Linked DNA regions of Oryctolagus cuniculus. The protein of the gene in region 2 binds, or shares a complex with, the protein of the main gene of each other region. Links are inferred from orthologs where the notes say so. Each region holds a gene or a part of one and is shown on either strand. Other genes may lie near its edges.

Evidence for each region. The genes of interacting proteins can lie anywhere in the genome.
Region 1: the proteins of LPL (region 2) and GPIHBP1 are in contact, whole or in part, in a crystal structure (PDB 6OAU), measured with the Homo sapiens proteins. The link is inferred for Oryctolagus cuniculus from reciprocal best matches to the Homo sapiens genes LPL and GPIHBP1. Residues at the interface, in NP_000228.1 of Homo sapiens: Tyr367, Gly368, Thr369, Ala371, Glu372, Glu374, Leu403, Met404, Lys406, Lys430, Lys440, Ile443, Cys445, Ser446, Arg447, Glu448, Val463, Lys464, Cys465, His466, Asp467, Ser469; in NP_835466.2 of Homo sapiens: Cys68, Lys69, Ser70, Leu92, Ala94, His95, Gly96, Asn97, Thr98, Glu99, Ser100, Leu103, Thr104, Thr105, Ser107, Trp109, Cys110, Thr111, Asp112, Ile117, Lys119, Val121, Glu122, Thr124, Val126, Met128.

What each region holds. Positions count from the first base shown.
Region 1 is NC_091437.1:167,323,799-167,328,216, reverse strand, and holds GPIHBP1 (glycosylphosphatidylinositol-anchored high density lipoprotein-binding protein 1), read right to left. Parts: upstream 2,721-4,418; 5' UTR 2,535-2,720; coding exon 2,483-2,534; intron 2,146-2,482; coding exon 2,026-2,145; intron 1,758-2,025; coding exon of another isoform or gene 1,685-1,757; coding exon 1,568-1,684; intron 1,491-1,567; coding exon 1,228-1,490; 3' UTR 1,121-1,227; downstream 1-1,120.
Region 2 is NC_091439.1:2,927,241-2,931,856, forward strand, and holds part of LPL (lipoprotein lipase precursor), read right to left. Parts: intron 3,534-4,616; exon of another isoform or gene 3,302-3,533; coding exon of another isoform or gene 2,663-3,301; exon of another isoform or gene 2,576-2,662; intron 1,268-2,575; coding exon 1,147-1,267; intron 1-1,146. Other genes in the region: large ribosomal subunit protein mL48, read left to right, coding at 2,663-3,301. UniProt on the Homo sapiens protein: Key enzyme in triglyceride metabolism.

The DNA.
Region 1 (4,418 bases), on a different chromosome or scaffold from region 2:
AACACTCAGCCTGGCAGTGTGTGTGCATCTATGCATGCGTGTGTGTGTGTGAGTGTGAGTATCACAGACTGAACACTCAGCCTGGCAGTGTGTGTGCATCTATGCATGCGTGTGTGTGTGTGAGTGTGAGTATCACAGACTGAACACTCAGCCTGGCAGTGTGTGTGCATCTATGCATGCGTGTGTGTGTGTGTGTGTGTGAGTATCACAGACTGAACACTCAGCCTGGCAGTGTGTGTGCATCTATGCATGCGTGTGTGTGTGTGAGTGTGAGTATCACAGACTGAACACTCAGCCTGGCAGTGTGTGTGCATCTATGCATGCGTGTGTGTGTGTGTGTGTGTGAGTATCACAGACTGAACACTCAGCCTGGCAGTGTGTGTGCATCTATGCATGCGTGTGTGTGTGTGAGTGTGAGTATCACAGACTGAACACTCAGCCTGGCAGTGTATTTCCCTCCCCTGCAGGGCCACCCTGCGGCAGGCAATGCGGGGCCCCTTCCTCCCAGGCTGCCCTGCCATTCTCAGCATGCTGCCTCCTGGCACAAGGTGGCTGCTGGGCCCCAGCCATTGTTTCAGCCAGCAGGAAGGAGAAAGACCATGCCGCCTCCACAGAGGGGTCTGCCTCCAGCCCCCTCCCCAAGCTGGGCAGTGAGGCTCTTAGTAGTAAGGAAGGGAGACAGTGCACAGCGCAGGCGCCTCACTGCCCGCTGGACGGGCATCAGCAGGAAAGGCCTGTGGGACACCCAGCTGTGAGCCTTGCTCCCCACTGCTCGGCCGGGGAAACGGAGGCCCAGGCCCACCAGAGGAGACATCAGGGGCCGGGCTCCCTCCTGCCCAGGCCTCTCCTCCCTGGAGCCCCTGGGGAAGAGCAGGGGGTAACCTGGCTGCCGGCCTGGGGGAGGGTCCCCGGACCAGGACGGGGCTGCTGAGCCCCACCTCAGCTGATGCCCGGTCCCCCTCCCTTGCGGACCCCAGCCCCCTGCTGGCTGCCCCTGCAGCCTCCCAGACCACACAGCTGTGGTGGGCATCTCTCTGCCTGGGGAGCCCCTGGGGGCCGCAGCAGCGGGGAGTGGCTGACCGGCCAGGCTGGGCGGGGAGCGGAGGAAGCAGGCGCGGGCCGAGGAGCCAGTACTGTTTATTCCCACGGGGCAGCGGGGTCCGAGGGGCGGGTGGGGGCCAGGCTGGCCGCGCCGGCGGTGGGGGCCAGCACCCAGGTCCCTGTTGCTCAAAGGCTGGCGAGGAGGCTGAGCAGCAGGGCTGCGCCCACGTTTGCCAGGCTGCTCAGGGGCCCGCCGGCCCCCGCCCCCTGCGGGTGGCCGGGGCTGCTGCCGCCCGGCGGCTCCTGGGGGTGGGGGCTGTGCCAGGGCGGGACGTTGCACAGGGTGGACTGGCAGCAGGTCTTGGTCATCTGCATCCCCTCCACCGTCTTGGTGATGGGCTGGCAGGTGTCCGCGCACCACGTCGAGTAGGTGGTCAGCAGGCCCGACTCTGGGGAGGGAGGGGGAGGGGTGCTGAGGCCCGGCCCGGCTCCCCAGGGGCCTCGTGGGGGCGGGGCCGCGGCTCACCGGTGTTGCTGTGGGCGATGAGGGTGGTGCAGGAGGCCTGGCTGTGGGCGCAGCTCTGGGTGTGGCTGCAGCGCTCCTCCCTCTGCAGGGCCTGGCAGGTGTAGCACTGTAGCCGCCCTGCAGGACGGGGCTCGGGCTGAGGCCCCTGCCCGCTGAGGGGCAGTGCAGGGCCCGGGAGAAGGAGCCGGGGCTGTGCGGATCGCGGAGGGTGAACGCCCCCACGAAGAGCCCTCAGCTCCTCCCCGCCCAGGGCTGCCCTGCGGCTCTGCCCGCCTCGCCCTGCCCACCCTCTCCAGGGCCAGGAGCTCTTTCCAAATGGAACCCAGGCCTCCCCAGCCCCCGCTCCGGGCCCCCAGCCCCTTCCCCCTGAGTGAGAGGAGTGGGGTGTGCCAGGCGCCCCTCAGTCGCCGGTCACATCAGCCCCGCTGGCCAGTGCTGGGCGGGGGGGGGGACGGTACCTGTGTCCCTGCTGCCGGCGTTGGCCTGGGCCTCTTCTTCCTCTTCCTCGTCATCGTCGCTGTAGCCGTCCAGGCCCACGTCGTCGTCCTCGCCCTCGTCCTCCTGCGCCCGCGCTCTCCCTGGCCGTGCAGGGGCGCCTGTGAACCCCGGCTACCCAGGCGCAGAGGACACCGCTCGGGGCCGCGCCCCTCTGCCCCCGGGCGCCCCCCCGCCCCGGCAGGGCCTGCTCTGTCCCTGCGCAGCCGGCTTGCTGGCCTGCACGGTGGCCACCAGCCCCAGCAGGTGCTGCGGTGGGCCCTCACTTCAGCCTTGCTGTGTTACAGGGCAGGAAGCTGAGGCCGGGAGAGCCGACGGACCCCCCCGCCCCGCGCCACGACCCCCACCCATGCTGGAGAGGCTGAGCCTGAGGCTGGGGGCCGGGGGGCCCCTCTTCCTCCCCGGGCTCTGCCCCCACACCTGGCTGCCTGCACAGCAACAGGGCCAGGAGCACAGCCCCGAGCGCCTTCATCCCGTCCGAGCGAGCCGGGTCCTCGCACAGGGCTCTGGGCTTGCGCTGAGTGGGACGAAGGGCACTGCTGGGGCTTCCCACGGCCCCCACCCCTGCAGCGGCAAACAATGGTCCCGACTTGGCCCCCAGCTACAGGCGCCAGCCCGGGGACGCCGCTTCCCTCCAGTACCTCTGGGGCCGCGGGGGGAAGGAAGTGGTTGTGGTCAGCACTGGGCGTCCTGTCCACCTGGGCAGCCCCCCCCGTGCGCCTCTCACCCACTCCCTCCAGTCCCTCTGGTCTGCACTGCAGGAGCTGCTCCCAGGAAGACCCCAGGAACTCAGCGGGGGGCAGGGGCTACACCTGCGGTGCCACCTCTACACGGCCCTGGCCAGGGCCAGCTGACCCTGTGGGGGTAGGGAGGGGACGCTCCTCCTTAGCTCCGGGGGGGGGGCACTGCCCAGTCCCGGCCAGAGCCCGAGATTCGCCCAGGGGGAGAGATGGCCTCACTGATCCCAGCTGGGCCACAACGCTGGGGGCCAAACACTCGCAGGTAAATGAGAGCCCAGCCCCCCAGCTCTGTGCACCCTATCTCCTTCCAGGCCTGGCACGCATTGTCCTTCCTGGAGTCCCATCTGGCCAGGCCGAGGGTGGTGGCCCCTGGGTGGGGACGAGGCCTCACAAGGCTGGGGGAGCCGGGTCCCCAACACAGTGCAGACACCTGGCCCCCCATGCATCTCCCAGGCGGACACGGACGCTGGTCCTGAGTGTCCCCCAGGGGCCACATCAGGGCCTGGGTTTGCCCAGCCTTTGCCCTGGGCCCAGCCTCCTCCCCAGCCCAGGCTGCCCCCCACCCCCAGCCATGCCGAGCCCAGTGCCCTTGTCAGCAGTGTGGTCACCCCCGCCCCCTGCCCGCAGCCCCCGGGCTTTGGGGTCCTGGCCGTAACTGGCTCCCGTGCCTGGCTCCCTCCTGTGCCCAGTGTTAGCACCCGGCTCCCTCCCGTGCCCGGCTCCCGTGGAAGTCCCATTGCTCTTCCTGGCAGCAACAGCCTCGGGCTCAGAGCTGGGTGCTGGCCGGGCACCGGGGACACCCGCGGGCACTCGCACTCCCTCCTGCTGGGCAGGGGCTGAGAGTGGAGGTGGGTGCAGGGGCAGGGGCAGTGCTGGCATGGAGCCGATGGGGCCTCGTCTGGGCTGCGAGCCCCCTGCTCTGTCCCCTCCCGCAGGAGGGCTGGAAGGGACGGGGGCGGAGTCAGCTGTGAGACTGGAGAGGGGACGCTTGGACCCCCAGGAGAGCAGGCCACGGGGGTGGGGGTGGGGGGCCATGGCTCCCTTCCCGCGCTCCCCGCCCTCTGCAGCCGGCCCTCTGCTGACTCAGGGGCTTTGAGCCGGCTCTGGCAGGCTGCCGGGCTGGCTTCTTAGAGCAGCGTCAGACCCCCTCCCGGGAGCGGGGGGGGGGGGCAGGAAGGGGCAGGTCCATGAGGGGCCAGGCAGGTCCAAGCCCCCTTTGTCCCTGAGCACAGAAGGAGGCAGGCGTGGGCGGGGTGGGGGCGCAGGCTCTGGCTGCCCTCCCCACGGAGCCCAGGCCCCTGGGGGGGACGCACCCACACTCATGGGGGCATTCGCCCCCTCCCAGCCCCCGAATCCGCTGGGCCTAGACCCCTGCCCCACCCTGACTGCACCGCCCAGAGCCCACTTCTGAGAAAGCTCCTTTTCTGGGACCCCAGAGCCGTCCGCTGGCTGGCACCAGCTCCAGATGGCACCTCGCTCCCCGCCCCCGCCCAAGCCTGTCGGCCCCCTTGGGGAGCAGACGCCCGGGGCCCTGATGTGGCGGCGCAGCTGGCTGAGGCGTCGCTCGTCGCTCCTGACTGCAGATCCGGCCCCAGCTGCTCTGCTGCCCGCCCCCC
Region 2 (4,616 bases):
CTATTTTATTCTTTTCTCATATCATAAACATCTTATTATTTTAGGTGAGTGTCAGAGAGGCAGAGACAGAGAGTAAGAGAGATACGCAGTGAGCTCCCGATGACTGGGTCACTCCCCAGATGTTTGTCTGCAATAGCTGGGGCTGGGCCAGGCCAAAGCCAGGAGCTGGGACCCCAATCCAGGTCTCCCTCGGGAGTGGCAGGGACTCAGTTACTTGAGCCATCACCACCACCTGCCAAGATCTGGGTTAACAGGAACCTGGAGGCAGGCATCAAACCCAGGCACCGGGGGATGCAAGCATCTTAATCGGCATTTGAACCACTAGGCTTGCTGCCCACTCCAGCACTGGGTATTTTTTTAAAAAATCTGTTCATTTATTACTTATAAAAATAGATCATAAACTTGACTTAATGTTGCATTCCTCTGATCAGTAATATGTCATGGTTTTTACTATATGTATTTTCTGTATGTCTTACATTTACATTTATAGAGTGATTTCCTGTTCCTGTTGTCCATTTTCTTTAATGTCAAGTCTTTTCAGGGGATTTAATTATTGTTTATTTTAAATAATTGTATAAGAGGAAAAAGCAAATGCAAAATGATTCAGGAAAGGAAAAATTATAGATAGTAAATGAAAGTAAAATGAGCAGGCACTGGCCTCTGCCTGCAGTGCCCACATCCTATATGGGCACTGGTTTGAGTCCCAGCTGCTCCATTTCTGATCTAGCTCCCTGCTAATGAGCCTGGGAAAGCAGCAGAGGACGGCCCAAGTACCTGGGCCCCTGCATCCACATGGGAGACCCAGAAGAAGCTCCTACATCCTGGCTTTGGCTTGGCCCAGTCCTGGCCGTTGTGGTTATCTGGGGAGTGAACCAGTGGATGGAAGATCTCTCTCTCTCTCTCTCTCTCTCTCTCTCTCCCTCTCCCTCTCCCCCTCCCCCATAACTCTGCCTTCAACTCAATAAAATGCATCTTTTAAAAAAGAAAGAAAACAAGATGGCCCCAGTTGAGAGGATTTTCTTTCCCAACACAAAACAGAGCGAAGGCCCAGTTTCTCCATCCAGAGCCTGTTTTCTGGTACAACATCCCCTTCTGTTTCTCAGACTCAAGCCCACGCGTGGCAGGCAGAGCCCCGGGACTACTCACAGGGTGAAGGGAATGTTCTCACTCTCGGCCACGGTGCCGTACAGAGAGATCTCGAAGGCCTGGTTGGTCTGCGTTTGGCTTTCGGTCCCGGAAAAGTGGATCTTTACTTGGTAATGGAAGACTGTAGGGGAGGAAGGCAGGGCGAGTGCCCGTCAGTCTTTATAGAAACCCCACGGCCCACAGTTGGGTGATGCAGGCCCCCGGCACGCATCTCGCCGGAGACTCACAGGGAGCACGCTCATTCCACAGTGTCTGCCTGGCTCAGGAAGGTTTGCTCGTGAACACAAAGTGTTCACACCTAGAAAAATCCAGAGCCTCAATTCTATACCCTCACAGAAAAGTGTGCTTGGAGCATGCCCAGCGGAGGCAGGAGTCTTTGCTGGGCTCCTGGGAAGGTTAAACTGAAAAGTCCCGAGTTGCACCTTGTCTTGGGCATTTTTTTGCTTTAGCAACCTGCACCGCGCAAGCGCATCCGGCACCTGTGCCCTTGCAAGATGGGTGGGTGTTTCTTCCTGTTCACCAGCTTTTTGTCCACCCCACCCCCTTCCTTGACTGCAAGCTCCTTCCAGTCAGACCACCTTGTGTTTCCTCTTTATTTGAAAGAGAAAACAGCAGGCCTGGAACGCAGCTGCTATGACATGACAGAGGAAAGTGAGGTTGGGCCAAGGCACACTCCGGGAGGCGGCCGCCATGGCTCCAGTCACTGGGTTCCTGCCACCCACGTGGGAGACCTGGATGGAGCACCGGTCTCCCAGCTTTGACCAATGGCCCAATCCTGGCCATTGAAGGCATTTGGGGAGAGAACCAGTGGATGAGAGCTCACTCTCTGTCTCTGTCTCTGTCTCTGTCTCTCTCTGTCTCTCTCTCTCTCCCTATCTTTCAAATAAATAATCTGCTTTTAAAAAAAAAGAGAGTTATATTGATGCTTTTTCTTCTGTATCTCCAGATAGTTGGCCACATGTTTTCTTACTTCTCACTTATATTGCTGTCTATTAAACATACTTTCTCTTCAGCTAGGACACAGATGTCATAATGTTAATGGTTTAGAATTTGGCAAAGTCCAGCTGTGGGCTGCATGAGTGGTTTGCTCTGATGAACCAATTCCCAGGACCTTGCATTGATGGGGAGCTTCCAACAACAACCCCTACTTTGTTTACAAATTTCTCTTTTGACAACAAAAATAACAGCCAGATACTGGCTATAAACAAAACAAAAGAAAACAAAACAAAATAAAATCCTCACAGCTACTAAGAGAGAAGAGGATATGAGTTCGCAGTCAAACGGAGCCCTGGGAGGCAGCACTAGAGGCCAGCGTGGGGGAAGCTGGGAGCTCCAGGTGACCCTGCACAGGTGACCCTGGAGTTGGAAGGGCGGGCTGCCCAGGTGAGTGAGGGCTTCTGTCTCCAAGATAGAAGCCCTTTCCGATCAAGGCCGGCAGCGATTACAGACGTCCCAGAATCGCGGCTGTTGGCGCGGACCTTCGGTTTCCACAGCTAAGAGGTCGCAGCAGGAAAGGATGAGCGGAACCCTGGGAAAGGTGCTGTGCCTGAGGAGCAATATCATTTTTAAGCAAGTGGTTTCCCTCTTAAGAGTCAGAACTTCAGGAGAGAATCCCATTTATTCTGCAGGTGGCATTCTACTGAGCACCAGTCGGCACTACAAGTCAAAACCCACCCATGGCATTGGACGATACAAGCACCTAATTAAAGCTCAGGAGCCCAAGAAGAAGAGGGGAAAAGTAGAAGTGAGACCCATCAATTTGGGGACAGATTATGAATATGGGGTTTTAAACGTTCACCTCACTGCCTACGACATGACCCTGGCAGAGAGTTACGCCCGATACATTCACAACCTCTGCAACCAGCTTTCCATTAAAGTTGAAGAAAGTTACGCGATGCCCACCAAAACCATGGAGGTGTTGCAGCTGCAGGATCAAGGCACCAAAATGTTCGTGGACTCAGTCCTTACCACACACGAGCGAGTGGTTCAGATCAGCGGTTTGAGTGCTACATTTGCAGAGATTTTCTTGGAAATAATCCAGAGTAATCTTCCTGAAGGAGTCAGACTGTCAGTGAGGGAGCACACCGAAGAAGACTTCAAAGGACGGTTCAAAGCCCGGCCTGAACTAGAAGAACTATTGGCCAAACTGAACTAGCGCACATGCATTCATGCCAGCACTGGTGAGAGCGAGTGCCACGGAGAGGACCTTCCTGAGTGTCAGAGCTAAGCAGGAGAACCTAATCCTAGATTTCATAACTTCTTGTTCCCGTAGCCAGGAATGCCTGCTCTCCCGTGGCTGTGCTTGCCACTTCTCGCCCCATCTCCCGTGTCTTCCATTTAATAAAAATCTGTCATCAAAAAAAAAAAAAAAAAAAAAAAAAAAAGAAGCCCTTTCCATACACACACTTCCTGGTTCTGAAAAGTCAGGGGATCCCAGGGTTCCCTCCCGCCTCTCTAAAGGGGTTCCTTGAAGGACAGAGGCTCCAGCCTCCATGCCACCAAATGTACCTGTGCACATTCCAACAAGCCACATTTACGTCTGGGCACCTACAGCAGATGCGTTGTTCCCTTGGGAAGTTCTCCAGTGGCGCTTGCCTCATGGCACAGCGGGTTCAGCCGCTGCGGGCGACACCAGCATCCCCTATCAGAGCTGGGTTTGCATCCCAGTTGCTCCAGTTCTCATCCAGCTCCCTGCTCATATGCCTTGGAAGGCAAGTGGAAGATGGCCCCAGCACCCAGGTGGGAGACCCAGATGAAGCTCCTTGCTCTTGGCTTTGACCTGGTCCAGCCCCAGCTGTTACAGCCATTCAGGGAGTGAACCAGCAGATGCAAAATCTCTCTCTTCTTCTCTTTTCCCCTCTCTCTCTGTGACTCTGCTTTTCAAAGAAAACAAATCTTAAAAATAGGAAGTTATTCTTTTTTTAATTTTTTAATTTTTTAATTTTTTTTGACAGGCAGAGTGGACAGTGTGAGAGAGAGACAGAGAGAAAGGTCTTCCTTTGCTGTTGGTTCACCCTCCAATGGCCACCGTGGCCGGCGCACTGCGCTGATCCGAAGGCAGGAGCCAGGTACTTATCCTGGTCTCCCATGGGGTGCAGGGCCCAAGTACTTGGGCCATCCTCCACTGCACTCCCTGGCCAGAGCAGAGAGCTGGCCTGGAAGAGGGGCAACCAGGACAGAATCTGGCGCCCCGACCGGGACTAGAACCTGGTGTGCTGGCGCCACAAGGCGGAGGATTAGCCTAGTGAGCCGCGGCGCCGGCCCGGAAGTTATTCTTTATTTGTTCCCTTGCTCGGGCTGCCCCTGGACTGCACGGAAGCCTGCTTTCCTGACATGTGCCTCTCTGCCCCTGCTCTCCGCCTACTCCTCTCCCATTTCCAACTCCGCTCCTTTAGGTCTTGCCCTAAGCAAGAGGTCAAACTTGAAATCCAAGTGGGGAAACAAATTCATGGCAAAATGGAGCTATCTTA